4 linked regions of the Caenorhabditis elegans genome follow. The protein of the gene in region 4 purifies or fractionates together with the protein of the main gene of each other region. This does not show direct contact. Each region holds a gene or a part of one and is shown on either strand. Other genes may lie near its edges. The genes, in order: K01A2.5, men-1, etfb-1 and Y47G6A.22.

Region 1 (6,211 bases), on a different chromosome or scaffold from region 4:
TTTTAGAAGAAAATTATAATTTTATAGAATTTTGCGAAAAACGGAAAAGATAAAAGGGCAAAAACTAAAAACGAGACTACAAACTACAAAATTCAATTTTCAGATTGTGCCCCACAAGCCAACAATTGTCCACCAGGACCACAAGGCCCCACTGGTTACCCTGGAGCTCCTGGAGAACCGGGCTCTCGGGGTCTCGATGGACGTCCAGGAGCCAATGGTGTAACCCTTATAGCTTACGATCAAGAGATTCCAGGTTGCATACAATGTCCCCAGGGTCCACAAGGTCCTCCTGGTGCCGTTGGGCCTTGTGGACCTTCTGGAATTCCCGGGCTCCCAGGGAATCCCGGATACACCTCTCCTCCAGGACTTCCTGGGCCACCGGGGCCTTGTGGTGAAGCTGGACGGGAAGGTCCCAATGGTACACCAGGCCTTAAGGGAGAGCCTGGAAATAACTCGATCCGTCAGATATCCCTACCAGGCCGTAAAGGCCCTCCAGGACTTCCTGGTCAATGCGGACCACCAGGGCCACCTGGATATACACCGCCTCCAGGACCACCAGGAACACCTGGAGTTCAGGGAGAAGCTGGACAGGATGGAGAACCAGGGGTACCTGGAGTTACTGGCTATCCAGGAGTTCGTGGGCCACCGGGGCAGGATGCTGAATATTGTCCGTGTCCACCAAAGAACGCAGGAGTCAATCGGAATAGTTATGTGCAGCCGGCACCAGGTAGGCTACTTTTTTCCATTAAGTAGGCGGGGCTGATATTACGGCCTAAAAAAACTCAAATTTCAAATTTCAACATATTTTTTACAGTGTCCACAAGCTACGCCACAGCATCCCAAAGCCGTTACGTGTCAGAGTACAATAAAGAGGATGAGTACAGGAAACGAGTGCTGGCTCGAGTGCTCAAGAAGCAGAGACGACTACTTTTGGCGACAAGAGCAAAGAATGTTCGCCGGAAGCCTGTTAGTCACGCTAGTCCGTAATTATTTTTATTTTTGTGAAATAAATTTGTATAAACTTTTTCACGGACGTTTCCAGAAAGTATACTGTCCCAAAAATTTTAATTGGGCTTCGCATGGGCCCCGCCCACAAGGCTCGGACAGAAACCCTTTGTGAACGGGAAGATTTTTTTTCTGGAAATTTTAGAATTTTTTCTGAAATTTTCTTTTGGCAAAATTCCTAATGAAATCAGTCATTTTGTGGGTGGAGCTTATGAGTGTAATAGCGAAATTGCTTGAGACCAGGACGAATTTTTTATAAACTTTATTCTTCACAAAATACAAAATACAAATTTCATATATTTATCATTTCTTCTCCGTGCTCTTCAAGAATTCCAGAACCTTTCCGGAAAACCATTTGGGATATTTCAAATAAAAATCGTGTCCTCCTTGTGCATGAATCTCAACTTTTGCCAAACTCTTGAGCACTGGGATGAAGCATACATTCGGGTCACCACAGAACCGGTCCAATCCACCATTCATCACTAGTGTCGGGCATTTGACTTGTGGAAGTACCAGGTCACACGGGAAACGGCCACCGCAGAACGAGTGAACTCTGAAAATTCGTTTGGTTAGGTAGGAAGCAGACGTAGGTCGCCTTGAAGGTAGTTGGCAGACATATTTGTGCCTACAGGAATATACACAACTTCGCATAAGCCCCGCCCACAAAACTCACTGATCTACGACGTCACAAAGTGCCGCCCATTGTGTCCGGAGTGTTTCCGGCGAATAATGGTCCAAATATGGTTGACGACCGGCTGCTAGCCAATGATTTGTTTCACGCATTCCTGAAATTCCAAAAATTAATTTATAAAGAGCACAAAACCAATAGATGGCCACACCCATAAAATGGACGTTCGATTTATTTTCCCATAAAAAATCTTGTAGGTAGGTAGGCATAAATTGCTGCTTCTATGTGGAAAAATGGGCCATATTGGTGTCAAATTAAGAAATTTCATTAAAAAACAGTAATCTTCCAAATATATCTAAATATCTCACCCTTGAAAGCCATGGCTCCTAGATGATTAACTTTTGTTGCACCAGCCATTACAATCATTCGATTCACTTTTTCCTTTCCTTTAGCTGCCACGTGGACCGTTGTTCTAGCACCTTCTGACCACCCCATCACGGTGAACGGCTCTAGTTTCAGGGTCTAAAATTTGGAGGCTTTTTGAAAACGTAAAAATTTTAATTTCAAAATTAAAAGCTCACCTCCATTAACCCTAGGCAATATTCACTATCCTTCATACATCTCTGAACTTCTTGTTTTCGCTCTGGAGGTCTTGAGGTACCGTAACCTGGAGGATCAATCCCAACAATTGTGACCTGATCTGGTGGGAAATGAGAGAGCAATTTGAGTGGCCAATCTTTTTTATAGCAGCCGACAGCACCGCAAATCGCGAGAATGTAGTTCGGACCGTGGCCGTATTTACAGTAACCGATTTGAGTGTCCTTGATGTGTTCCGAACTTTCGATATAGTCGCTTTGAGTCATTTTTCTTTTGCTGAAATTTATTTAGGTGTTTAATTTGTTAATTATGAGGTAGCGACGGTGAGGAAATTTTCCGGATAATATAAATGTTTGAGACACCTTTGTGACCTTTGAGACCGCACACCTTTGAAGTACATCTCCCCGATTTCTTCTATCCTAGAAAGAGACGTAACAAGGGTCAAGGTTCAAATGTATTGCTAAGAGAACGCCTCTTGTGGTGTGGTAGTACTACAGTATTTACAACCTACTAGTACAGTAGGTCGTATATATTGTTATTGTCGATGATTTACAACCACCGGATTGACCTAGAATTAACATAGGTATTTGAAATCGGTTTAGGCCAAATAATTATGGTTCCGCGACATTTATAGAATTCGGAATTTTCTGAAGAGCGAGAACATGTATTGTGAACCTCTACAATATTTAAATACAGAAATGTAGAGTACAAAACATTGTTTTTTGATCGACTTCCAGAATTATGATACGTGAAAACTGATAGTGAATATTAAATTATTCGAAAATCGGACACATGGAATTATTGATCTCAAAAATTCGGTGAAATAGGCTAAAGAGGAAGGAAAACCAAAGAGGAAATTTTAAAAGTGCATGTATTTGAATGACGAATAGTTCTACGAAAAAGATTTTGAAAGTCCGATAGGAATGAGAAATTTGTAGCCTACAGATTAAGATTTCAGAAGGAATTTGGACAAGACCGGATTAATTTTGTGCCTGTAAGCTGCGGAAAGTTCTAGAACCATCTGGAAAATACGAGAAAGTTTTGGAATGTTCTAAAACCTTCTGAAAAATTAGATAGAATTCCGGAATGTTCTAGAACTATCTGGAAAATACGAGAAAATTTTGGAAGGTTCTGGAACCTTCAGAATAATTCGAGAAAATTTTGGAAGATTCTAGAAAGGTAATAAAAATTATTAAAAAAAACATAACCACTAAAACACCGAAACATCTAGTTATTTGTAATATAAATGTGTAGTTTCTAATAAAAAGGAACTATGAAACAGTAAAGTAAACCTTTTGATTTATACTGGGAGAGTATGCAGATTTCAATCTAGGATATGAGGGTAAATAGGGAATAACAGGTGAAAGTGTACAAACGCAGTCGGAGGAAGATGTTGTTAAGATGAAAGAAGAAGGAGAAGAACACAGGCACTTGGACACACAGAGGGAAATAAATGGGAAATGAAAGGGAAAAGGGATATGGAAGAGACAGAAAATTGTTCCTATTGTCTGAAGGTATTGTATAAAACCGCAAAGAGGAAATTGATGATCGAATCATGTGATTTTGCGGGGAGTGCTGAAAGCATTTTTTTCAGATTTGTCAAGCTTGGGTCTTTGATCTTTTAGGACAACACAGTTTTACACATCTGGAACAATGCGGCTTCACCCATGTTGTCGAACACAAATAAATTTTTATGAACCAAATTTAATCAATAAAACTTGAAAATTACAATATTAGAGAAAAACTTGAAGACGATTTTCTCATTTTCCAGTATTCCCTTGTTTCCGTGTCAATGTCCAAGACTCCACTTCCACTGGATCTCCAAGCGGCTCCCATTGATCCGTGAGCTGTCCTTGTCGATCTCTGAATACTCTAGCTCGTCTTAGGATTCTTCTATATACTGTCGCAGGGTACTATGTGTCGCAGTGTTCATTGGGGTCCTGCCGGTTGACAACTTGCACAGGGACTCTATCAAAGTTTTGATCATGAAATACAGGTAGTTGTTGCGCTGTTCCCTGGAAGATTGGATTGATTGAACAATTTTTTTAGCATCACCTTTTTAAAATATCAGTTTTTAACTGGTCGGTTAAAAAATCCATATATGCCTGCCACCCGATATCATCATTTTAGGTGACTAGCGGGCCTATGGGCCCGCCAGCCCTTCGGGAATGGGGATAGGGTTAATTCGCTCTAAGTTATTAGCAAGGTAGCTGGCGCAGGTTCTCGGCTTTGCCTCGAACCTGTTAACGGGTTATTCGAGATCTCTTTGAAATTATTTCAGGAGTGGGGTATATGTTTAGAAAACTTGACTATTCAGGTTTGAGGCTTCGCCTCGAAGCTCTTACTGTGTAAATTGAAATCTCTTTAAACTTTGATTCATTGCTCCAGGACCGACACTGTACGAATAACTTAGGCTGAGATTTTGTTCAAGAATAATTAGAATGTATTCAATAAAATAAGTGAACAAAAATTAGGAACAGAACCGTTTTGAATGTCATGATGTATAGGTTCCTTAAGAATAAAATATAATTGTTTCAAACTGACGGGTTAATAATGTTTTAATTCCCTTAATCCACTTACCAGATCGACTTCAAGAATCCTCCTGGAAACAATTCTCGACTCTCCGGACAAAATCACAGTTGGTACATTTTGACAAAAAGCATAGGAAATAAGTAAAACGATTCCCAGAAGAATCATAGCAGCGAAACTGAATGAGGAACTTGTTGTCAAACGATAATAAGCTTATCAGTTCGTAGACTAATGATAAGACTAACATGCTAACTGGTAGGCAGTTGCAAAACATCTAGAGGTGCTTTCCATTTGCTTGCAGGAATCGTCATTCTTGGTTTTTGGATTGTATGCTTTATTATTATTAATGTTGTAACTTAAATAAATAAACGATCAAATAAATAGAATTTCACAGAAATTATAACATCAAAATCCTTTCAATACTTTGCGGACACATTGAGCACCGGGATGGTGTTAGAGGTGCCGTTTCGAATGGAAATTTCCATTACTTGGCACATGAAATTCGAGAGATCACGGCGGACACGTGGTGTGAAGAGGAAGATGAAGATTGCATTGGAGACGGTTAGCATGTAGAAGACGACGAAGAACTGGAAAAAAAAGTTTGTAAGGGGGCTGCGAGCAGACTTAGGTTACCCATTCATGCATGAATATGATGATTCCCCAGGTGATAGTGAATGCCTCGAAGAGCTCGTACATAAGCATCCAGAATTGGAAAAAGGAGTGGATGATGATGAAGTAGAGCAGGGTATGATCATTTTTGTGGTATCGCTCATTTCTTGGAAACTCTCGGATTCGGAAACTTGTCATGAAAATGTAGACGTAGGTGATAGTTAGGAAAATTATAAGCCAGGCAATGATGATATATCTTTGGATCTGGAAACTCCACACATTTTTAGAAAAAAAATCTTGCAACACTTACAATTCCCATGTAAGCAGGTTCAGTTGAATATTTCCATGCACTTCCATCCCAACTCCAAACTCTGTGGCAAACCATTGAGGGGATTGAGCAGACTGCAGCTCCAACAGTGGACAATGACAAGATTAATTTAATGTTTCTTTTGGAGAATGACTGAAAGTTTTGAAATTGTATGAACTTCAGATCTTCAACATACGTTATGGAACGTGATGAAGGTTGCAAAGTATCTATTGACTGCCATAATAGCACCACCAGCGATGTTCAGTAGGTAGAGGACACAGGTTCCGATGCTTGCCATACGAGTCACATAACCGAGAATGTCCCCATGGATGACATACTTTTGAAATGTCATCCAGAAGAGACAGATGCAGTGGAGAACATCGGCGATTCCTGGAAGGGATTTGAAATTTTAGATAAAGATTTAAGATCGGTAATTTAATCATATTGATAATCTGTGAGCCAGTTGAAAGCGTTTCCTTTTTTATAAAAAATGTTCAAAACAACTAAACGACACACATTTGTCGTATCTGCCTGAC
Region 2 (10,321 bases), on a different chromosome or scaffold from region 4:
TTGAAATTTTCAAAAAAAATCGTCAATTTCCTCAAATTTTCGATGATTTTTGCTGCAAAATTCGAGTTCCTCTTGAAATTTCACCCCTGGCTGTACTTTTTTGCAGTCTCTAGCTCAATTTTCACAATTCCGGGTTACTGTAGCCCCGAAAGTACGCAGCGCCTTGGTGTTTGCGTACCTGGCACCAGATTCTACGGAATTTCGTCTAAATGAGCTGAAAAATGAAGTACGGGGCTAAAAAATCATGCTGATTCTGATTTTCATATTAAAAATGTTGGAAAATTAATCGAAATGTGGAAAATTCCGATTTTTTAACGCCGAAAATACAATTTTTAGTGTTTAAAATCGAATTTTTCTCATTTTCAATACGAAATTCAGAATCAGCGTGATTTTATTGCCCTGTGAACCAATTTTCAGCTGATTTAAACAAAATGTCGTCAAATCTGGTGCCTGGTACGCAAACACCGCGGCGTTGCGTACTTTTGGCGCTACAGTAACCGAGAAAATTTCAAAATTGGGCTAAAGCCTCCAAAAAAGTACAGCCAGGGGTGAAATTTCACGGAGAACTCGAATTTTGGAGTTAAAGAGCTCGTGTAGTCCTCGAGGACAAGGTTTTCGATAAAATCCTCAATTTCGGGCAATTCTTTTCGGTATTTTAACACACAAATCGTCTTATTTATAGTTTTTCAGGCCAAAACCGAAAAAAAAACTATAAATTGTGCAGATTTTTACAAAAAAATTGTAAAAATGTATTAAAAATGGCTCATATTCAGGTTTTCCCGATAAAATCTGTTTAAAATTGCTAATAATCCGATTTTTTTTTTCGAAAATATTGTTTTTAAATAGCTAAAATTCAGCTGAATATTTCAGATTTTTCGGGAAAAATTCATTATAAACAGCCGAAATTCAGATTTTCCCCTTTAAAATCACGATTTTTCTAGGGAAAACTCAAGTCTTCTAGTCATTTTTAATGGGTTTTCCTGTTTTTTTAAATAAATTATAAATAAAGAAAAAGCCCGGAAATACTATAAAAAAGTCCTAAAAACCCCCAAAAAAATCAATAAATTCCCCAATTTGTTTTGCAGGTAAAAGTAGTGTGGGACGACAAGCAAGTCTACGACGCGTACTTCCGTGGAAAAGGACAGATGATCGAGTACACGGTCCGACTGGAAGATGGCCGAGAAGTCCGCCATCCACGGAACAGGCTGAAAACGAAGCGAGAACTGAACGCGTATCTCAAAAAATAGCTTTAATAAATAAATAAATATTCGATTTTTTAAAATTTACTATTAAATAGTCCCTGACAAAAAATTCTTGTCAAAATGTAATATATTCTCTCTTTCCCGCCCGTCTACCCTCAAATATGTGATCTCTGCGCCTCTTTTCCCCCCAGTTTTTTTTTGTACGAAAAGTCGAAGAATCTCTAATTATCCCTGTTTTTCTGTTTTTTTTCTGTATTTTTTTGTCATTTAAATATTTTTCGCTATTTTTCCCTATTATTTTGCAGAAACTTTTAAATGTTTTCCCCGAAATTGATCAATTTATCTAATAAACCTTTTTTTTTCCAAATGCCAACACACTAATCGCATTCTTATCAAATAATTCCGTCGAAAAATCAGAAAAATTGGCCAAAGATCACTTTATCCGATTTGTTGACTTCCTGTGAACACGTGTTGAGCTGACAGCTGCGTTGGGAGTGGGAAAATATTGAAAATAACCGGAAAACTCGTTCAAAATCCAGAAATTCTCTTTAAAAAACTGTTTTTTAATGAAAAAACCTTTCAAAATCCAGAAATTCTCTTTTCAAAGCTGTTTTTTAATGAAAAAACCTTTCAAAATCCAGAAATTCTCTTTAAAAAGCTATTTTTAATGAAAAAACAGTTCAAAATCCAGAAATTCTCTTTAAAAAGCTATTTTTTAATGAAAAAACCTTTCAAAATTCGAATTGGCGCCGGTGAATTGACACGGCAACTGCGTACTTTGCGGCCAATGCGCCACATTTGACGACAATTTTTCTTTATTTTTTTCATTGATTTTCGTTATTTTCTTGAGTTTTTGTCGGTTTTCGAGAGGAAAAATAAACTAATTTCTTTATTTTTTGTGGAAAATTCAAAAAATCGCATTAAAATATCTGTTTCTTCCAATTAAAACCCCAAAGATCACGGCTAATTCGATGACAAGGCCACCTTGATCGAAAAATATCGCTATAAACAAGAAAAAAACACGGGAAAACATCATTTTTCTCGCTTTTTCTCCCTCTTCCCTCCTCTCACCGCATACTTGCTCCCCCAAGCACTCATTTCGCCGCCACTCGAAGGAAAAACGATTTTCCATCTTACTTTTTGAAATAAAAATTCATTTTTTCAAGAAAAGAGTTCCGCCCGTGTTTTTGTTTTCTTTTTCTCCCTGCGTCTCTCCGCTGAGTGCAGATCTCTCGCACATAGTTTATCCCGAAAGAATACGTGGATCGATAGACGACGGGCGCCCCCATTTGTGGCTTCTCAGGCAATTGTCTCTCCAGTTTCACCGCGAGTTTTCCCGAATTTTCAGGTTTTCCATAATTTTTTCTGAATAAAAATTGATAAAATGCACTCATTTTTCTTATCAATTGTCACCGTTTTTATTTCACGTGTTTCAAAAAAAAAAGTTTTTATCGAAATTTTACATTTTTCCGTCTCATTTCAGAATCAATTCTCATTTGCTCTTGGGTTTCACAACCGTGCGGGAATCACGAAAAATGCTGAGCCGTCTTTCGCCTGCCAGGTAGGGAGGATTTTGCGTTGAAATTAGCTGAAATTCGAGAAATGTATTAAAAATGACTAAAAATTCAGATTTTCCCGGAAAAATCCATTTAAAACGGCTGAAATTCTGCTTTTCTCGGAAAAAATTTATGAAAAATGGGTGAAATTCAGATGGTCTCGGCAAAAATGCGTAAAATATCGATTTTTCTGCGAGAAATTGCAGAAATTGAAATTTTTACAGGTTTTCGTTGAAAAAGTCTACGAATTTTGACGAGTATTTAAAAAATTTGTAGATTTTTTCGATAAAAACCTATGAAAATTTCAATTTCTGCGATTTTTCTGCGATTTTGCCCAATTTTTCTTGGAAAATCTGAGTTTTAATCATTTTAAATTTATTTTTTCTAAAAAAATCTGAACTTCAGCCATTTTAAATGGTTTTCTCCGGGAAAATCTGCATTTCAGCCATTTTACTAGATTTTTTTCCGAAAAAGTCTGTATTTCTGGCATTTTGAATGAATTTTTGACATTTTTTATGGTTTTATTCCAGAAAAATCTGATTTTTAGCCGCAGTTGGTGGATTTTTCCGAAAAAATCTGAATTTCAGCCAATTTTTAATGGATTTTTTCCGGGAAAATCTAAAATTTCAACATTTTTAAAATGAATTTTCCGCCATTTTTTATGCATTTTTTCCTGGAAAATCTGATTTTAAGCCATTTGTAATCAATTTTTTTTCGGAAAAATCTGAGTTTTAGTCATTATAAATAGTTTTTTTTCTGGAAAAACAGATTTTTCGCTATTTTTAATGTATTTTTCCGGGAAAAAGTCTCAATTTGAGCCGTTTGAATGAGTTTTTCCAGGAGAAATCTGAATTTTCGCTATTTTCAATGGATTTTTTTTTGGAAAAAACTGAATTACAGCCGTTTTTAAGGGATTTTTTCCGAGAAAATCCGATTTTTAGCCATTTTTCATGAATTTTTTTCGGAGAAAATCTGAATTTCAGCCGTTTTTAATTGATTTTTCTGGGAAAGCTTGATTTTTAGCCATTTTTTATATTTAAAAAATTTGAGTTTCAGCCATTTCAAATACATTTTTTCCGTGAAAATCTACTGTTTTAGTCATTAAAAAAAATTTTTTCCAAAAAATCCGATTTTCAGCCTTTTAAATGGATTTTTCCGGGAAAATCTGAATATTTAGTCATTTTTTATGGATTTTTTTCCGGAAAATTTGAAATTTAGCCGTTTTAATGGCATTTTCCCAGAAAAATCTGAGTTTCAGCCATTTCGAATACATTTTTCCGTGAAAATCTACTTTTTAGCCATTTTAAATAGTTTTTTTTCTGGAAAATCTGAATTTTAACGATTTTAAATAAATTTTTTCCATGAAAATCTGAATTTTTAGCCATTATTTATGGATTTTTTTTTCCGAAAAATTTGAATTTCGGTCATTTTAAATGGGTTTCTCCGGGAAAATCTGAATTTTTGCCATTTTTTTCAATGAAAAACCAAAAATCCCCAAATTTCCAGCATCCGCCGTCTCTCCACATCAACACGATGCCTGAGCGACAAAAACGAGCCGGATCTCTCCGATCCCAAAACTCTGGCCCTTCACAAGCTCTACCGCCCGGAACGCACCACACCCCAGAAGCGAGGAATCGACCTGCTCAAGTCGCCCGGGCTCAATAAGGGAATGGCTTTTTCCCTCCACGAACGTCAATATCTCGGAGTTCACGGGCTTCTGCCACCCGCATTTATGACCGAAGAGCAACAAGCCTACCGTATCATCACAAAACTCCGCCAGCAACCTGACAACCTTGCCAAGTACATTCAATTGGACTCGTTGCAGGATCGTAACGAGAAGCTCTACTACCGAGTGCTCTGCGATAATGTGAAGGAGCTCATGCCAATTGTGTACACTCCTACCGTAGGACAAGCCTGTCAGCATTTCGGATTCATCTACCGTAACCCAAAGGGTCTCTACATTACTATTAATGATAATAGTATTAGTAAAATCCATCAGATTCTTGCAAATTGGCCGACAGAGAACGTCCGAGCAATTGTGATCACTGACGGAGAGCGGATCCTCGGCCTCGGCGACCTGGGAACCTATGGAATCGGAATTCCCGTTGGAAAACTTGCACTCTACGTTGCGCTCGCAGGGATTCGCCCGGAATGGTGTCTCCCGGTGATTCTCGACGTGGGAACTGATAACAGCGAGCTGCTCAACGATCCATTCTACACGGGGCTCCGTAGAAAGCGTGTTAGAGGTCCCGAATACGATACGCTCGTCGATAATTTTATGAAGGCGGCCACGAAGCGGTTCGGACGGGATACGCTGATTCAATTTGAAGATTTTGGAAATCAGAATGCGTATCGGTTGTTGGATCGGTATAAGGGAGAATATTGCATGTTTAATGATGATATTCAAGGTAGAATTTGGCAGGGGGGAAATTGAGGAAAAAAAGCGAAAAAATCGGAGAAAAAGGCTTTAAAATGCACATTTGAGAAAAAAAATTGCATTTTGGCCGAAATTTTTCAAAAAAAATCTGAATTTTCACTGTTTTCAAATATGAAATTCAGAATCAGCATACTTTTATTGCCCTGTGCGCCAATTTTCAGCTCATTTAGACGAAGAAATCTCGTAGAATCTGGTGTCTGGTACGCAAACACCGAAGCGCTGCGTACTTTCGGGGCTACAGTAACCCGGATATTTTCAAAATTGAGCTAGTAACTCGAAAAAAAAAGTACAGCCCGGGGTGAAGTTTCACGGGAAACTCGAATTTTGGAGTTTCAAAAAAATAGTGAAGCAAATTTGAGGGGATATATTCCTTTATAACTTTATATTTTAACTGCAAAATTCCGCCGTAAAAGTTTTCCGTAAAATTTCTTTACCCCTAGCCATGTAATTATTTTGGAGTCTCTAGCTCAATTTTGAAAATTTCCGGGTTACTGTAGCCTCAGAAGTACGCAGAGCTTCGGTGTTTGCGTACTTGGCACCGGATTCTACGATATTTCGTTTAAATGAGCTGAAAATTGTTAATTAAAGTATGCTGATTCTGAATTTCGGGTTGAAAATGTCGGAAAATTTCGGGAAATTTCGGATTTTTCTGGAAATTTCAATTTTTTAAAGAGAAATTTTGCTTCTTTTTTTTTTTGGGAAATTTTAATTTTTTGAAAATTTCGATTTTTTTGACCTTGAACTTGGAAATAAAAGTGAAAAATTGATTCTAAAAATAATAGTTTCCCAGGAAATTTGGATTTTTTCAATATAAAATAGGAAACAAAAAAAAAAGGTCTTTAAAAAATAGTTTTAAAAATTAAAAATTAAAAGTTCTTTTGTTTTCAGATTTCAGATTTGAAATTTTTGATTAAAAAAAAAAATTAAAAAATAGTTAGAAATAAATTTTGTAAAAAAAATTTTTTTGCAAATTTCCAGGTACCGCCGCTGTCGTCGTCGCCGGCCTGCTCGCCTCAACTCGTATCACCAAGAAGAAGCTCTCCCAGGAACGGATCGTCTTCCTCGGAGCCGGTGGAGCCGCCACCGGAGTCGCCGAAATGTGTGTCCGACAGATGATGGACGAGGGATTGTCGGAGGAAGAAGCTTGCGGTCGGATTTATATGGTTGATATTGAAGGACTCATCACGACGTCTCGTAGTAAATCTCTTGGCGAGAGACATGTGAAATTCGCTAAAGATCTTCCGGATACCAAGAATCTGCTGGAAGTTGTGAAGACTGTCAAGCCTGGAGCACTCATCGGAGCATCTACGGTGGCTGGAGCATTTACGGAGGATATTATTAAGGAAATGGCTCGGCTGAACCCGAGGCCAATCATTTTTGCACTGTCCAACCCTACAAGTAAAGCAGAATGCACTGCGGAGACGGCTTATCGCTGCACAAATGTACGGGATATGTAAATTTAGAGAAAAAACTGGAAAAATATGGAGAAAATCTGAATTTTTCAGATTTTTTGAGCTGAATTTACTGCATTTTTCATGGAAAAGTGAATTTTTAAATTCAAAAATTCGCCGTTTTTCAGATTTTTCCAATGAAAAGTTAGTTAAAAATTATTATTTTCCAGCTTTTTCATGGAAAAAAAATCAAAAATTTTTAAATCCAAATGTATAATTTTCCGGACTTTTTGTGTTAAAAATTAACCGTTTTTTTTTCAGATTTTCCATGAAAAAATGTTTTTTTTTTCAAATAAAAAACTTAAAAAATCTCAATTTTTACAATTTAGAGCCATTTTTCAATGAAAAACCTGAAAAATAGTAATTTTAAAGTCGCTTTTCAAAGAGAAATCTGGAAATCTGAAAATTTAAATTTTAAAATCTAAAATATATATCAATTTTTAGAATTTAGAGCGGTTTTAAATGAAAAATCTGGGAAAAAAGTAATTTTTAAATAGTAATAAAAATAATAACGAAAATTGGAAAAAAAAACTGGAAAAATATGGAGAAAATCTGCACTTTTTTAGTTGAGAAATGTAGAATTTGCCAATTTTCGCTTGATTTTTCATGGAAAAATTATTTTGAAATTCAAAAATTGACCGTTTTTTTTCAGATTTACCTTTTAAAAAGTGACTTTATAAATCAAAAATTAACCTTTTTTAATTGAAAATTAATATTTTCCACGGCAAAGAGAATATTTTAAATTTATTTTTCTTTAAAAAATCTGGAAAATGCCAATTTTAATTAAAAAAAAATCATTTTAAAATAATGTTTTAGTTTTTAATTTATTGAAGTCAATTTTATAATTTAAAGTTGCGTCGTTTTTTCAGATTTTTTACGGAAAAATGATTTTAAATTGAATTAAATTTTGTTTTTTAACAGAAAAATCTTTAAAAAGGTACAATTTCTTCCAATTGTAAGTTAATTTTTTCGAAGAAAATTGTGGAAAATGTCAATTTTAAAATTTATTCTTTTTAGATTTTTAGTTGAAAAAATGATTTTAGAATTTAATAAAAATTTATATTTTTCAGCTCTTTCGTGGAAAAATGATTTTAAATGGAATTAAAATTAATTTTCTATGGAAAAATTTGGAAAAATGTCAATTTTTAATCTTAAAAATCATTTTTCAATGAAAAATCTGAAAAATCAGTTATTTTTCCCTCCAAAAATACCCAATTTTTGCAGGGAGCCGTCCTCTTCGCCTCCGGATCCCCGTTCGAAAATGTCGAAATGAATGGAAAACTCTATAAGCCAGGACAGGGAAACAACGCCTACATCTTCCCGGGTGTTGCTCTCGGAGCCGTCCTCTTCCGTACCAAAAACATTCCGGACAAGCTGTTCCTTCTGGCCGCCCGTATGGTCGCCGAAGCCGTATCGGAGAAGTCGTTGAACACGTATTCACGTGTATATCCACGTCTGAAGGATATTCGAGAACTTTCGGTGAAAATTGCCGTAGAAGTTGGCGAGTATTGTTATCGACACGATTTGGCCACTTTGCACCCGAAACCCGATGATATGGTGCGGTTGTTTTTGAGTGGAAATTTGAAAAAAAAAAACGTCGGAAAATTTCGATTTTCCTGCAATTTTTAGACATTTTTTGCTGAAAAAAACATGAAAAACTGTTGAAAAATACCAAAAAAAAAAACTTTTCCCCGAAAAAAAGTGATTTTCCTCACTTTTTAATGCAAAAAATGGCCATGTGTCGATTTACGCGAATCGTGTACTCCTCGGAGAGAAAAGCAATTTTTTGAGTGGAAATTTGGAAAAAATCGGGAAAATTTCGATTTTCCTAGCATTTCAAGCTGAAAAAACATGAAAAATGGATGAAAAACATTTTTAAAAATGACAAAAAAAGACTTTTCCCCACCCGAAAAAATTGATTTTCCTCACTTTTTAATGCAAAAAATGGCCGTGTACCGATTTACGCGAGTCGTGTACTCCTCGAGGAAAAGAATAATTTTTCATGGAAAAAAGCATTTTTAGCTGAAAAACATGAAAAAATTTTGAAAAATACCTTCAAAAATGATTTTTAGACAATTTTATGCCTAAAATTGAAAAATTCTACTTATTTCTGACGATTTTTCCGAAAAAAACTGCTGAAAATATAATTTTTCACATTTTTTTTCGAATGCAAAAATATGACCGTGTGTCGATTTACGCGGTTCGTGTACTCCCCGAGGAGAATTTCCGAATTTACTATTCGAATTGCTCATTTTCATAGGTTTTTTTCCGGTGAAAGTACGATTTTTCTGGTTTCTAGTGCATTTTCAGCAGTAAATTCATTTATTTTCACTAAAAACTTTAAAAAATCAATAAATTAGGTGATTTAAATCGTTAAAAATCAAAAAATCAGCAAAAATGGACTACTTTTAGCCTAAAACGTGAATTTCCTTGCAAAAACAACGCAAACTTCTCCTCGGGGAGTACACACGAGCCGCAGATTAATCGACACTGCAAAATTCGAGTTCCTCGTAAAATTTCGCCCCTAGTCGTCTTTTTTTTGGAGTCTCTAGCTCAATTTTGAAAATTTCCGGGTTACTGTAGCCTCAGAAGTACGCAGAGCTTCGGTGTTTGCGTACTTGGCACCGGATTCTACGATATTTCGTTTAAATGAGCTGAAAATTGTTAATTAAAGTATGCTGATTCTGAATTTCGGGTTGAAAATGTCGGGAAATTTCGGGAAATTTCGGATTTTTCTGGAAATTTCAATTTTTTAAAGAGAAATTTTGCTTCTTTTTTTTTTTGGGAAATTTTAATTTTTTGAAAATTTCGATTTTTTTGACCTTGAACTTGGAAATAAAAGTGAAAAATTGATTCTAAAAATAATAGTTTCCCCTAAAAATTGTCAAAAATCTTAAAATTTTTCAAATATTTTGGAATTTTTTGAGAAATTTCAATTTTTAACCCGAAATTTCCGAAAAAAATCTCAAAAAAAAGGAAAATGAGAAGTTAAAAAACGCAATTTTCCCCTAAAAAATTGTCAAAAATTTTGGGATTTTTTGAGAATTTTTAATTAATTTTTAACTAGCAATTTCTCAAAAAATTTGTTAAAAAATTTCGTAAAATTGGTTAAAAGTTTGTGCTTTTTTTTCAGTTTTAAATTTATAAAAAATTTGAATTTTTCCAGGAAATGTTCATTCGCCAGAACCTGTACAGTGTTGAGTATGATGAGCTGATCAATAAGACTTACGAATGGCCAGCCAAGGATTCGAAACACGGTTTCCCGGTTCCAGTGTTGAGAAGAACCTCGATGGACGAGGAATAATCTTTTATTTTATCGTTTTTTTTCCCAATTTTTTTCGCATTTTTCTCTAGTCTCTCTCTCCATCTCTCTTTCCCGCGTAAATACACCCTATTTTACCTTTTTACCCCTAAAAATTCATTTTTTTTTCACAAAGTTCTTAATGTCTACGTGTATAGCATAATCCTATGGATTTTTAGATTATACAAAAATTTAATTATATAAATTTACATGTAAATTTAGCTTGTTAGGGCATTTTTCCAGTTTTTTTTTGTTCCTGTTGGATTTCCAGATTTTTGCCGCTTTTTTTGGTCACTCCGTTTTCCAGCAATTTTTCAGATTTTTTGCCACCAGAATGAGCCAAGACGATGGAGCAGCGGAGGCGGAGGCGACGG
Region 3 (6,917 bases), 1.1 Mb from region 4:
AGGAAAGCTGACATTGAAGAATGGAAATGTCGAGAATTGTGCCATCAAAACCGCCAAACTGGAGTCACTGAACAAGGAGCAAATCAAGGAAATTATGCGAGAAGCCCGGCTCATGAGAAATCTCGATGTAAGTTGATATTTTTCAGGGAAAATTCTCTGAAAATCTATGAAAAACGTGACTTTTGGGTCCCGACACGACTGAAACTTTCACAGCTACAGTACCCGTATTCGCGAGTACGGTAGCTGAGAAAAATTTCATAGGCGTGACGGGACCGAGCACGGATTTCTGGCTTCCCTCATCAAATTAAATGGAAGTTTTTGCCGAACTAGGCCATTTTGGCTCGGCCATGTCTAGGGTAGATTTACGGCGCGTTGCGTGTCGCGTCGCGGCTCGATTTCAGTTGTAAAACTACACGGGGTTCTAGCCTTCCTCATTGAATTTTTCGCGCTCCATTGACAATCGCCCGCCGGATAACGCGTGGAAAAGTCGTGTACTCTACACGGACAAATACATTTAGTTTTACAACTAAAACCGAGCCGCGACGCGACACGCAACGCGCCGTAAATCTACCCCAGATATGGTCGAGCCAAAATGGCCTAGTTCGGCAAAAACTCTTCCATTTCAAGGGAAGCCAGAAGCGTGCGTACTCGCGAGTACGGTAACTGAGAAAAATTTTACAGTCGTGGTGGGACCCAGGTTACATGAAAACGCAATGATTTCTCACTGAAATCTTGTGAAAAATTGAAAAATAGAAGAAATTTTGAGTTATTTTTTCTGAAAAACTCGAAAACTCCTTTTAAATTTCGATTTCGCCCAAAAATTTAATTTTTTTGCAGCATCCAAATGTCGTTAAATTCTACGGAGTTGGTGCAAGCCAGGAGCCGCTGTACGTCATCATGGAGTTGGCGGATTGTGGAGCCCTGGACTCGTACCTTCAGAAGAATCCGAATTTGGTGCCCGACAAGAAGATGGAGATGATCTACCAAGCAGCGTGTGGAATCTCGTATATGCACGAGAAGAAACTTCTACATCGAGACATTGCGGCGAGAAATTGCCTGTATGGAGGTGGTCAGGTCAAGATTGCGGATTTTGGGTTATCCCGTGAGGGAATCTCGTATGTCATGGACCTGACGAAGAAGGTTCCGATTCGTTGGTTGGCTCCGGAGACGTTGAAAGCGGGGATTTATAGTCCGAAGACTGATGTGTTTGCGTTCGGTTAGTCTTTCCAATAACATTTTCAAATAAAATAGACATTTTTTCAGGAATAATGGCTTGGGAGATCACTGAGAATGGGAAGGAGCCGTACCCAGACATGAGAGTTGCTGACGTCGTCGGAAAGGTCCGTAATGGATACCGCATGCGGTTTGATCCGGTCTTTGTGGACTTCAGATTCGGCGACTATGTCACGGTTGGTTTGAATCTGAAATTATAGCTAATTACTAATTTCTCATTTTTCAGAAGCACTGCTGGGCTGAAAATCCGGCGGATCGTGTGAGCATGGCGGATGTTCTGCGCTATCTTCAGACAACTTTTGGGATGAAGCCAGTGGTTCTATCGATTCTATCGAGCAATCGCTCGACCGAGGAGGAGATGAAGACGATGAAGCCGCCAATGTTCTCGGTGAAGAGAAACAACAAGAAGAAGCCGAAGTGATCTTTGATTTGTTCGGAAATAAAGTTTTGATAGTTTTGACTTGAGATGTTAATAAAATTGTTTTATTACCCTGAGAATTCGAGAGAAGAATACGGTACCTGGTCTCGAAACGACAATTGTTTGTTAAATGCGTGAAGGTGTGCGCCTTTAAAGAGTACTGTAATTTAAAAATTGCGGTATTTTCTTCAATTTTTTTATTTCTTTTGATTTGTTAAAACATATACTGTTTTTTGTTAGTTTATTGATGAATAAATTCAATTTTTTTTACAAAAAAACTACGAAAAGTCGATAATTACAGTAATTTTCAAAGAAAGGCGCACAGATTTATTCAGATTGGTCTTGGCACGCAAAAAAGTTTATGGTAGTTTATTTTTGTGCGATTTTATCTATCGGTGAAATTACGATGTTAATTTTTTCAAATTCATATAGCGGATCTGGAAATATTTTTGACGTTGATAATTTTGTGTTTTATAGCCTGAAACCGACTTAAAATACAGAAATTTCTACAACCCAAAATTGTCGTAAGATCCGCTGCTTGCGGACATCAAGTGTCGTCGTTTATGACGTAAAGTCCGCAGATACACACACATGACTCATGAATTTGTTTTTATCGCTTTCTTGCGAAATTTAACTTATAAAAGCACTTTCTCACCGTAATTCTCGTATTTCAGAAACTCAAATACCAGCTTAATACACATAAAATCATCATGGGAGCCGGAGAAAGCAGTATGGCCTTGGAAAGTGAGTTTCAAATTGATTTCTCTTGATTTTGACTTATTTTCATGTTTTTATCTTCCAGAACACTTATTTGATCTTAAATTCGCAGCGAAACAGTTGGAAAAGAATGCTCAACGATGCGAGAAGGATGAAAAGGTCGAGAAAGACAAGCTGACGGCAGCTATTAAGGTAAAAAATAATTAAAAATGAAAAAAAAAACAATTATTTTTTAAATTCGATTTTTTCCAGAAAGGAAACAAAGAAGTCGCACAGGTTCATGCTGAAAATGCGATCAGGAAGAAGAATGAAGCAGTGAACTACATTAAAATGGCCGCCAGAATCGACGCAGTGGCCGCCCGAGTTCAAACCGCCGCCACACAAAAACGAGTAACCGCCAGCATGAGCGGCGTAGTGAAAGCCATGGAAAGCGCCATGAAGAGCATGAATCTCGAGAAAGTTCAACAGTTGATGGATAGATTCGAAAGAGATTTCGAAGATCTCGACGTGACCACAAAGACGATGGAAAAGACGATGGACGGAACGACAGTGTTGAATGCTCCGAAGTCACAGGTGGATGCTCTGATTGCAGAGGCCGCCGACAAGGCAGGCATCGAGCTCAACCAGGAGCTTCCGTCAAACGTGCCAACTGCTCTGCCGACCGGGACGCAAGCTGTTTCAGAAGACAAGGACCTCACAGAACGCCTGGCTGCTCTTCGCAACATGTGATCTTCCAGATTTCTCAAGAAATTTCTGTGAATATGAATATTCTGCTGACGGTTTCATTTTTAAAATTAAGATACTGCTTTTTTTCTTGTATATACAACATTTCTCTCAATAATGAAGCAACAATTTTTCTGCTTTTTTTTTGTTTTATCTAATCTATCTAGATCTACGAAGTTCAGCTCATGTCTTCTTCGAAATATTTATTCTTTTATTTTTCAGAACATTTTTTCTACAAATCGGTCGCTTACGTGTAGGCCACAACAATCACCGCCCGCGTTTCATTCTCTGCGTCTCTCGTCTTCCCACACTCTCTCTCCACATCGTCTTATCTCTCTCATCACTTGTTTTATTATTTTTATTCTTATTTTTCACGAATTTTCTATAAAAAACGGAATTTTCGAAGGTTTTTAAGGAAAAACGTGGCAGTTTTAAAGCTATTTTAAACATTTTTCGGCTAAAATTTCGAATTTCGGCTTTAATTAATTGATTCAAATTTAAAAATCAAATTCTGAACTCTGAAGTGTGTACTTTGACCCCGCCGCCGCTGTTTTTTTCGATCATTTCTTCATTTATTAATAAATAAATAAATTTATTCCCAGTTTTTCTTCCAGCCAAGCGATGAAGATTCTCGTCGGAGTCAAGAGAGTTGTCGACTATGCTGTCAAGGTAGGATTTCAGGAAAAAGAGCAAAAAATTCGAAAAAACAGCTTAATTTCGGCGAAAATCTTGAATTTCACCAACTTTTCCGTGTCGCAGCAGTTGGAAATCAGTTTTTTGTCATTTTTGGCTCAAAGTGTACCCCAATCAACGGAAAATCGATTAAAATTGGCAATAAAAGCTGATTTCCAACCGCTGTGACACGGAAAACTTGGATAAATTGGAGATTTTAGACACATTTCGATTCTATAAAAGCCCAAAATTTCCAGATCCGTGTCAAGCCGGACCGCTCGGGAGTCGTCACCGAAGGAGTTCAACACAGCATGAATCCATTCGACGAGATCGCTTTAGAGGAGGCCGTCAAGCTCAAGGAGAAGAAGCTCGCCACCGAAGTCGTCGCGTTCTCGCTCGGCGGACCAAAATCCGCCGAAGTGCTCCGGACCGCGTTGGCGAAGGGCGCCGACAAGGCAGTTCACGTTCAGGTGACCGACGCCGAAGCTGGCAAGCTCGAGTCATTCCACGTGGCGAAGGCGCTTCAGAAGATTGTCGAGCAGGAGAAGTTCGACGCGGTTTTTCTCGGAAAGCAGGCAATCGATGATGATTCGTCGCAAACTGCTCCGATTCTCGCTGGCCTGCTCGAGTGGCCACAGGCTCTCTACGCGTCGAAGGTTGAAGACGCAGGCGCTGGACACATGAAGGTCACCCGTGAAATTGATGGAGGTCTTGACACGATTAAGGTGATTCTTACTATATCGATCGATAGCCGTGAAAAGCAGCCCCGCACAGAACGCGAGACGGGGCTTGATATTGCAACCCTGCGGCACGGTTTTTCCTTTTTCCGCTTGTTTTTTGTTTGATTTTTTCAATTTTTCATGTTTTAATCTCTTTTTTCGAATGAGAACGTTATTTAATTTAAAATCAAAATTTATTAATCGATCCTTAAATTTTGCAAAAATTTGTCGCACAGAAAGTGGGGCGGAGCGTAGCTTACGCAACACTGCCGCACGGGGTTTGTCTCCGCCCCTTTTCCACTGCTTTTTTTGTTGATTTTTTCAATAAAGTTTCGATTTTTCTCTTTTTTTTCGAATTGGATTTTCATTCGAAAAAAAAAGAAATTATTGAAAAAATCAACAAGAAAAGCTTAAAAGCAGTAGAAAAGGGGCGGAGGCAAACCCCGTGCGGCAGTGTTGCAAAAGCTATGCCCCGCCCCACTTTCTGGGCGACAAAATTTCTTGCAAAATTCAAGGATCGATTAATAAATTTTGATAGTTAATTAAATAACGTTCTTATTCGAAAAAAAAGGAGATTAAAACATGAAAAATTGAAAAAGCGAAAAAAGGAGGAAAAACCGTGCCGCAAGGTTGCAAAATAACGCCCCGCCCCTATTTCTGCGCGCCGCTATTTTGTTTGCAAAATTCACGGATCTAAAGTTTTATTCGAAAAATTTTCTATTTTCCAGGTCAAAGTGCCATTCGTCCTATCCGCCGATCTTCGCCTCAACGAGCCCCGCTACGCGACTCTTCCAAACATCATGAAGGCCAAGAAGAAGCCACTGAAGAACATTCCAATCAAAGATCTGAATGTAGATATCACACCACAAACTGAAACTCTTGAAGTCACCGAGCCACCAGTTCGCCAGGCCGGAGGATTCGTCGACGATGTCTCGGCACTTGTCGCCAAGCTCAAGGAGAAGGGATTCGTCAAGGCTTAAGCCCCCGATAACCTCTTCCGCCGCTGAATTATTGTAGTAGTCGAATCAGAAAATTTTGTATTTAAATTATTTTTATTATTTTTTCTATTCAATGTTTTATGTGATGCAGGTTTAAAAAAGTATGAAAAATTATTTTTGTTCATAAAAGTGAATAGCTTGAACGGGAAACGATCAAAAAACGGAATGCATTGTTCACAAAACCATGGGAGAATTGGTGTAGGTAGATCTGGAAATATTACGGATTATTATCTGGGCGCGAAAAATTACGCGCCCCGCCCCTAAACGATGGGTCTCGTTAGGTAAATATTTGGCGGCAAGACGGGAAATTCAAATGTTTTACATTATTCTTGCCAATTTTTAAGCTTTTTTTCATATTTTTTATAAGTTTTAGGTCGAAATAACGATTACTTCCGACGATTTTACCCGTTTTCAAGCATTTTTCGTTATTTTTTATGTTTTTATGCCGAAATTATGGTTAAAAATGATTATGACATTAACTTTTTCAATTTTGACAAAAAAAAACTCATTGAAAACAGCGAAAAATGCTGGAAAATTGGCAAAAACGGTTTTCCCGCCAATTCCTAACGAGACCCAACGGTTTGGGGTGGAGATTTGTCCGTGGAGCGCAATTGCACTTTATAGTATTACGGAAACTCACACATTCTGAGAATGCGTACAGCGCAGCATATTTGACGCGCAAAATATGAAAATATCTCGTAGCGAAAACTACAGTAATTCTTTAAATGACTACTGTAGGCCGATTTACGGGCTCGAATATTGAAATGAATTTCATTTCGAATAGTGACAAAGATATTCAATTTTTCTTCGTTTTTCAAACAAAAAATCATTTTCGTAAATCGACACAAGTGCTACAGTAGTCATTCAAAGAATTACTGTAGTTTTCGTTACGAGATATTTTCATATTTTGCACGTCAAATATGTTGCGAAATACGCATTCTAAGAATTTTTAAGTTCCCGTAATATTGGAATTTTTGGAATGAAAAAAAAAAAGAAAAACTTACCATTCTAGTCTGAGAATTGCACTGGGGACATATGGATTTTGAGGGCGATGATGTGTTGAATGACTCGTATTTCGGAGATTTCATGCGGAACGACGTCGAGTCCCCACACCGGAATACCTCTGCCGACCTTGATGACGTCATCCGTAACGTGGCTCGCCCTGAAACGACGTGTCGTGTCTGCTCCCGCTGCTCATTGCACATTGAGAGCCTCGCCTGCCGCCGACGCCGCATCATCACACTCTCACCGTCGGATCTTCGTTCGATCAACAGAGTCAGCGAATCGGAGCGGGACATCCAGAATCGGAAGATGCTCGCCGCCTGATCTACGGAAACGGCGCGAAGTGAGATCTTGTTGCACCGGAGTAGACGATCGCCTTCTCGAAGATGTGTGCTCTGGAAGTTTTTTAGAATTTTTTTCGAAAAAAAAAGTGAC
Region 4 (7,786 bases):
GTTTTACAAGAGAGCAAGAGATCATATCGTGTTTTTTTTTAATTTCTAGATCCAAATGGCCATAATAAGTTCTGCTCATTTCATAGTGAATAAATTTCTAGAAATTAAAAAAAAACACTATATAATCTGAAAACTGTTATTTCCACAATACCACTACAGTAACCCAACAGTCTAACCCCATTAACTCCATCTACAATTATGACCTATGTATTAAAAAAAAACTATTCATACATTTGTTTATATCTAGAATATAAAATACTATAGACATTAATTTTTAATTCGTAGTAAAAAATTAGTAGTAAAAGATACGAAACATAGTGAAAAGTACAATCCCTGCCATTGTAGTAAAAATGTCTACCGTAGCAAAAGATACAAACTGTAGCAAAACATCGAAATATGAAACCGTAGTGAAAGATCCACGTAGTAAAAGATGAGGTAGTAAAAAAGTATTTTCCGTAGTAAAAGATCTATGTGGTCAAATGGTAGTAAAAGAGATCACGTAGTAAAAGAGCCAATTGTAGTAAAAGATCTAAATGCGGAATTCGTAGTAAAAGAGATCTTGTAGTAAAAGAGATACGTAGTAAAAGATCAAGTAGTAAAACAGTATCTGCCTCCAAATTTCAACAAAAAACCAAAATTTTCAGAGTCGAACGGACTCGATGGCACCGACACCAAAACGACGAGACAGCCGTCGTTCGAGCGAAGAAGTTTCCGTTTCAATCGATATTCCCGATATTATTACAGATATTTCCGACGCCTCGTTTAGACCGAAACACAATTAATTGATTTTTTTTTTCTCATGTATTTTCTAATTTTCTAGTCAACAATTATTGGCCAGCAGCTTCTTAATATTTTCTATTGCCTGATTTACGGTTTTTTTTAATTATTTATTTTTTTCCTCCAATTTCTGCTTCCACAAATATTTAAATGTACCAAATAATTTCCAATGAGCTTCTGTGATTTGTCTATTTTTATTTATTTTTTTCTGTGAATAATAATTCATTTGTACTAGTATTTATTAGTTTCATTTGATAAGTTTCCTAACAATTTTTGGATTATTTATATCTTATTACGAGGATCCACACGCAAACGCAGAAAGTGTCTGACTTTGTCCGGGCACACTGATCTTCCATTTCGATCCATCACACTTGATGCTTCCTTTTGATCCAACTTTACTCATTGGGGTCACGAATTCACGTCCCTGTTCATTGTAGTACCAAACATCAGAGCCAGCGGGGCATTTTATCGAATATTGATTGCCGGAGCCGGTTACAGCTTGAGAAAATGGAGCGAAATCGCAGAGGGGACAATTGACTCGGCGGGGGAGGTAGATGCTGGAAATGCCGGGGCAGCCACCTGGAAATTATTCAAATTATTCATTTAGGGCCGCATTTGCGCGTAAAATTTGATGCATTGGGTCAGTGAACTACGACAGTGCACCATGTTTGACGCGCAAATTCGAAAAAAAATTTAATTTTTGGGGAAATAAACAAATTCCCTGTACAAAATTGATATTTTTGAAAACACGTGGTGTCAGGCTGTCTCATTGCGGTTTGATAAACAAAAAATGCGGGAATATTTTTCCGGAAAAATTGTGACGTCAGTAGGCTCTTAACCAGGCGAAATAAGATGAGAAGTCTGCGTCTCTTCTCCCGCATTTTTTGAAGATCAAAACCCAAATAGGACATTCTGACTCCCCTTACGAAAATTCACTTTTCAAATAATCTGGCGAAAAGCAGAAAAATTCGTCAAATTTTAAAAACTATTTATAAAAAATCCTATTTTTTCATTAATCCCATTACACTTCTTTTTTTTAATGAATTGGGTGATTAAACATTATTCGAATTTTTTTTTGTTGAAAAATCAATAATCTCAAAAAACCCACCATAGACAGTGACGATCAGAATCGTAGCCAGTAGAACAATGATCTTGAACATTTCGCCGCTGACCTATCTATCAGTACTCAAACCCTAATTCTCAGCCTTAAATATCGTTACTGCTGTTTTTTTTTCGGCGACGAACGCTCACCCCGCCCCACACACAAAACTTCCTTCATCATGATTGATTAGTTTTTGAATTGAAACGGGAAAAAAAGACTGAACAAAGGGAAATATTATTGAGACGTAGAAAAATGCGCTTTTCACGGTGGTTCAGTTGCTAGATGGGTGCAAACGCACTCCACCGAACAAACGTGCATAACTTGGGCAGGAAGCACAAAATCGAAAATTCATCACAAATAAAGATAGGTATATTCATTGCGGTCATTTCTTATATGCATCGCAAAATCGATTTTGTGATGGTTTTCGAGATAGTAGCCAATATAGGTTTCCAGACTGACACGGACAACTGAAAAGGATCCGCCCCCAAACGTTGGGTCTCGTCAGGTATTGGCGAGACAACCGGGAATTTTTATGGTTTTTTGCCGATTTTACTAGTTTTATGTGTCGAAATTAAGGAAAATCAAATTAAATAACGGTTTTCCCTTTTAAATGCAATTTTAAAAACATAATTTCGATATAAAAATCTTGAAAAAACACGAAAAAATGCTTGAGAACAGGTGAAATCGGCAAAAAAGCGGTAATACCTAACGAGACCCAACGTTTGGGGGCGGAGCTTTTCCATTTGACCGTGGAGCGCGCTTGCACCTCGATTTCAAAAATCGCATTTTTCTGCATCAAAATTTTACGATTTTTTTCTCCATATCTCGACACGACAAATATTTGTTAAATACGAAAAGGTGTGCTCCTTTAAAGAGCACTGTAATTTCTCGTTTTGGAATTTTCATTGACACAGTACTCTTTGAAGGCGCACATCTTTTTACATTTAACATACATTTATCGCGACGAGACCAGGCACCGTAGCTTTGGCACAAAAATAGCAATTTTTTCAAATATCAACTACAGTAACCCACAGTTTGACATGGATTTTGAAATAAAAAAGTTTGCGCGTCAAATGTGATGCATTGAGTCATGTACCTAATGCACCACAGTTTACGCGCAAAAAAATTTGGAAAAGTTGAACTCCTGATGTGTGATGTGTTATCAGGAGCGGAGAAAACAAAATTTGTATTTTTCTCTGGGTCTCGTTTTTTTAGGATGCCGTTTATTATTTGTTTCAAAGATTTTTTTTTCAATTTTCAATTTTCAATTTTAATTTTAATTTTGATTTTGCAGGTCAACCATGCCCGTCGCAATTGTCACAGGTAATAATGACTCTAAATACTTGAAATTCCATTCCTCTCCCCTCTTTTCCAGGTGCAAGTTCTGGTATTGGACGTGCGGCGGCTCTTCTTCTCGCCCGGAACAACTACAAGCTCTCACTTACCGGACGGAATGTGGCGGCTCTCAATGAGCTCGCCGGGCAAATTGTCAGTGCTGGAAGTGATAAGAATGATGTACTGGTGACCGCTGTTGAGTTGGCTTCAGAAGAAGCTCCGAAGACTATTGTGGATGCGACTGTGCAAAAGTTTGGACGAATTGACACATTGGTGGGGGGTTATTTTTGGAAAGTTATAATAAAATTTAGAACTATTACGGGAACATAAAAATAAATAAAATTCTGAGAATTCGTACTGCACAACATATTTGACGCGCAAAATATCTCGCAGCGAAAACTACAGTAATTCTTTTAATGACTACTGTAGCTCTTGTGTCGATTTACGGGCTTGATTCTCATAATCAAGATAATAAAGCCCGTAAATCGACACAATCGCTACAGTAGTCATTTAAAGAATTACGGTAGTCTTCGCTACGAGATATTATGCGCGTCAAATGTGTTGCATTACGCATTTTCAGGATTTTGTGTTCCCGTTATAAAAAATTTTAGTTCAAAATTCTTTTTGAAAACGTAATAATTGCGAATTTTGTAAAAAAATGCACAGAAAATTATCCAAATGTGAAGTTTTGCGACTACTATTGCGTTACAAATACGGTATCTGGTCTCACCACGACTAATTTTTGCAACTTGTAAAAAGGTGCGCGCCTTTAAAGAGTACTGTATTTTCTTTTGTTTCTGCGGAATTTTCATCGAATTTTATACTTTTCGATAAAAAACTGTTTGAAAAATTAAAATTTATATATAAAAATCGAAGGAAAATTTGAAAAAATTCTGTAGTATATGCGAGTACTGTAGCTCAGTTTTGCACCCAAATTTAATTATTTTTTTTAAAATTAAAATTATTTTTGTCGCATTTCACATTAAGATTCAGAGATCTTAGAATTTTTATTTTTTAAAATTTTTTGAGAAAAAAGTTTGCGCGCTTTTTTAGATACTTTTTTTTTCGAATTTTCCAAATTTCTGCCTAAAGAGTTTTCTCATTTTTATTTTCGAGAAAAATTGCACCAACCTGTAAAAAGAAAATATGGGGATAACGAAAACATTTAAAAAAACTCTCCAACCGATTCTTGAATTATTAAACCCTTAAAATATTCTAAATTTCAGATCAATTCGGCCGGGATTCTGCGTGCCGGACCAGTTCTCGATTCTGGAATTGAAGTCTACGATGAGCTAATGAATGTGAATGTTCGTAGTTTGATCCGCCTGACACGTGCAGCTCTTCCACATATTATTACAACAAAAGGAACTGTTGTCAATGTCAGCAGTATTAATGGACCGTGCCCTGTATGATGTTATTTTTTTGTTGAAAATAATTTTCAAATTCGCAATTTTCAGTTCCCAAATGTAACCTATTACTGTATGTCCAAGTCGGCCGTAGATCAATTCACAAAATGTTTGGCTCTCGAAATGGCTCCGAATGGAGTTCGTGTTAATGCTGTTTGGTGAGTTTTCTCGCGATTTTTGCCAAAAAACTACGGTGCCAGGTCTCGAAGCGATCGATTCTCTTTAAGGAGTACTGTAATTACGATTTTTTCGGTTTTTAGGTTTTTTAAAGAAATATTCGAAAAATAAGAAAACATATACATTTCTTCCAAAAAGAAGAAAAATTGTCAAAATTTCAAGATATTTTGCGAAAAATCGGAAAAATATTTATTTTTGAAATCGAAAATATTTTTGGCTTTTTTTTTTTCGAAAAATCGAAAAATTATCGGAAAATATGAGTAAGAACGAAATCACAAAAAAAAACTAGGAAAATTTCCTGAAAATTCTAACTTTTTGCCGAATTTTCATAGGTTTTCTTGTTTTTGTTCAAATTTTGATGCATTTTTATATTTTTTGAATAAAAACGAATTTTTTAAAAGACAGGAGCTAAACTATGGAAAATTGCTTTAAAAATCTCGCAAAAACTAGGAGTAAGTAACTACAGTACACTACAGTACTCCTTTAAAGGCGCACGCACTTTTGAATTGAAAAAAAAAAGATCGCTTCGAGACCGGTTACCGTATTTTGGTGCAAAAATCGCTAACTTTCTCATTTTTTGTCGAATGAAACGCTAACAACACACGTATTACGGGAACACAAAATTTTGGGAATTCGTCTTACGCAACATATTTGACGCGCAAAATATCAAAACTACAGTAATCCTTTAACTGACTACTGTACTGCTTGTGTCGATTTACGGGCTCGATTTTGGAAATTAATTTATTTTCTTCGTTTCTTCGTATTATTTTCTCATTTTCAATAATCTTTTGATAAATAAAAAAACCCGTAAATCGGCACAAGTGCAACAGTAGTCATTTAAAGAATTACTGTAGTTTTGATATTTTGCGCGTCACATATGATGCGCAATACGCATTCTCAAAATATTGTGTTCCCTTAATAAACCCATATAAATTTGTCATTTCTCCAAAAATTTCAGCCCAGGGGTCACCGTGACCAACCTGCATCGTACATCTGGTCAAGACGAGACAACATATTCTGCGGTATAAAACCTGCTGCACTGACCTTGACAAATAAATATCATCATTTCTTTCAGTTCTTGGAACGTAGTAAAACGACACACGCACTCGGCCGTCCCGGTGATGCCAATGAAGTTGCTGAGGCAATCTATTTCCTCGCCTCTGAGAAAAGTTCATTCACTACTGGAGAACTTCTTCGTGTTGACGGAGGCCGCGGAATCATGCATCCGAGATAAATATTAGCTTTTTTGTCTCATATTGAGATTGTTTTGAACTTTTATCATGTAATAAATAGAGAGATACATGTATTTTTTTTAATTGTGTTTTTATTGAATCCTTTATAGTGGTTTTTTCCTTGCTTAATTTTTTTTTTTTTTGAAAAAAAATCGATTTTTTTTTGATTCAGTTTTGAATTTATTCAGAGTATCCGAAAATGCCAGTCGCCATCATCACCGGAGCAAGTTCGGGAATCGGAAAAGGCACGGCTCTTCTGTTCGCGAAAAAAAAGTACCAACTCTCGCTGACCGGAAGAAATACGGATTCTTTGAAGGAAGTCGCAGCACTATGTATTTCAGAGGGTGCAATTTCGGCTGATGATGTGAGTTTTATATTTTAGGAACTGTGACGGAAAGTACAGTATTACGGGAACACAGAATTCTGAGATTGCGTATTGCGCAACATATTTGACGCGCAAAATATCTCGTAGCGAAAACTACAGTAATCCTTCAAATTACTACTGTAACTCTGGTGTCGTAAATCAACACAAGCGCTACAGTAGTCATTTAAAGAATTACTGTAGTTTTGATATTTTGCGCGTCAATTATGTTGTGCATTACGCATTCTCAGAATTTTGTGTTCTCATGATAGCAGTTATCACAAAAAAATTTCGATTTTTTTTCCTCGTTTGTAATTTTTGGAAACACCGTTTTTTTGTCGAAAAAACAAAAAAAATTATTTTTTTAATTAAAAAAAACCGCCGCCATGGTCTTGACACATACAAAAAAAAATATTAAAACTCATCGAATATCAAGAAGTATACTAAAAATCATTAAAAATTACAAACACTTGCAGGTACTGTAGCTATGAATTTTATTATGTCGTTTCGAGACCAAAAATCGCAAAATTTTGCAAAAAAAGGGGATTGAACGTTTTTAGGTGGAAAAAATAGCGACATCAATTAAAAAATCGATTTTCATTCCAGATTCTGATAACTGCAGTGGAGCTGAGCTCTGATGAGGCGCCCAAAGCAATTGTGGATGCAACTGTACAAAAATTCGGAAGAATTGACTCATTGGTGAGGATATTCAGTTCGAAACAATTTGAAACTATCGAGAGAAAAGTTTTTCGGAAATTTAGAGTTTATCCATTTATTATTTACAAAATTTTCAGAAACGCGTACATAGAGGATCACGGATTTATTCGGTTGGGTCTTGCCACGAAAAATGTTTTTGCGCGGTGAGACCCAACTAGATAATTGCGTGCGCCTTTAAGTTCGTATCCCAGGAACAATTGCGGAACTACAATAGGTTTTTTTTCAATTTTATGAAGTCAATACTATTCAAAATTTAAACTTGAAAAATAAAAAACTTCACTTTTCCAGGATCCATAGTTTTTTTTTCGAGAAATTTCCCATTCTACCCTTAAAATATTCTAAATTTCAGATCAATTCGGCCGGGATTCTGCGTGCCGGACCAGTTCTCGATTCTGGAATTGAAGTCTACGATGAGCTAATGAATGTGAATGTTCGTAGTTTGATCCGCCTGACACGTGCAGCTCTTCCACATATTATTACAACAAAAGGAACTGTTGTCAATGTCAGCAGTATTAATGGACCGTGCCCTGTATGATTTTTCTTTTGGAAATTAAAAAAAAATATATTTCGAATTCGCAATTTTCAGTTCGCTGGGGTCACATATTACTGTATGTCCAAATCGGCCGTAGATCAATTCACAAAATGTTTGGCTCTGGAAATGGCTCCGAATGGAGTTCGT

The links.
Region 1: the proteins of Y47G6A.22 (region 4) and K01A2.5 fractionate together in Caenorhabditis elegans (co-fractionation; one large-scale study listed by BioGRID). This does not show direct contact.
Region 2: the proteins of Y47G6A.22 (region 4) and men-1 fractionate together in Caenorhabditis elegans (co-fractionation; one large-scale study listed by BioGRID). This does not show direct contact.
Region 3: the proteins of Y47G6A.22 (region 4) and etfb-1 fractionate together in Caenorhabditis elegans (co-fractionation; one large-scale study listed by BioGRID). This does not show direct contact.

The regions. Positions count from the first base shown.
Region 1 is NC_003280.10:298,700-304,910, reverse strand, and holds K01A2.5 (AB hydrolase-1 domain-containing protein), read right to left. Parts: upstream 2,507-6,211; 5' UTR 2,497-2,506; coding exon 2,215-2,496; intron 2,156-2,214; coding exon 2,002-2,155; intron 1,791-2,001; coding exon 1,679-1,790; intron 1,559-1,678; coding exon 1,309-1,558; 3' UTR 1,252-1,308; downstream 1-1,251. Other genes in the region: col-69 (Nematode cuticle collagen N-terminal domain-containing protein), read left to right, coding at 104-727, 815-987; K01A2.6 (AMIN domain-containing protein), read right to left, coding at 4,144-4,245, 4,811-4,927; B0432.1 (Serpentine Receptor, class T), read right to left, coding at 5,176-5,346, 5,393-5,632, 5,679-5,828, 5,872-6,065.
Region 2 is NC_003280.10:14,226,220-14,236,540, reverse strand, and holds men-1 (Malic enzyme), read left to right. Parts: upstream 1-2,685; 5' UTR 2,686-2,737; coding exon 2,738-2,763; intron 2,764-4,264; coding exon 4,265-5,166; intron 5,167-6,173; coding exon 6,174-6,637; intron 6,638-7,870; coding exon 7,871-8,203; intron 8,204-9,812; coding exon 9,813-9,950; 3' UTR 9,951-10,164; downstream 10,165-10,321. Other genes in the region: jmjd-2 (Lysine-specific demethylase 4), read left to right, coding at 1,086-1,247; Y48B6A.13 (Diphosphomevalonate decarboxylase), read left to right, coding at 10,282-10,321.
Region 3 is NC_003279.8:2,417,142-2,424,058, reverse strand, and holds etfb-1 (Electron transfer flavoprotein subunit beta), read left to right. Parts: upstream 1-3,705; 5' UTR 3,706-3,712; coding exon 3,713-3,760; intron 3,761-4,020; coding exon 4,021-4,488; intron 4,489-5,210; coding exon 5,211-5,462; 3' UTR 5,463-5,598; downstream 5,599-6,917. Other genes in the region: F23C8.7 (Tyrosine-protein kinase), read left to right, coding at 1-127, 838-1,216, 1,264-1,409, 1,460-1,654; did-2 (Charged multivesicular body protein 1b), read left to right, coding at 2,362-2,395, 2,454-2,560, 2,621-3,097; F23C8.13 (PDZ domain-containing protein), read right to left, coding at 5,602-5,688, 6,485-6,877.
Region 4 is NC_003279.8:3,558,239-3,566,024, reverse strand, and holds Y47G6A.22 (DeHydrogenases, Short chain), read left to right. Parts: upstream 1-3,173; 5' UTR 3,174-3,180; coding exon 3,181-3,202; intron 3,203-3,254; coding exon 3,255-3,487; intron 3,488-4,440; coding exon 4,441-4,620; intron 4,621-4,671; coding exon 4,672-4,778; intron 4,779-5,755; coding exon 5,756-5,819; intron 5,820-5,872; coding exon 5,873-6,031; 3' UTR 6,032-6,091; downstream 6,092-7,786. Other genes in the region: lpd-3 (Bridge-like lipid transfer protein family member 1 C-terminal domain-containing protein), read left to right, coding at 645-782; Y47G6A.33 (C6 domain-containing protein), read right to left, coding at 1,070-1,356, 1,886-1,937; Y47G6A.21 (DeHydrogenases, Short chain), read left to right, coding at 6,229-6,393, 6,997-7,089, 7,457-7,636, 7,694-7,786.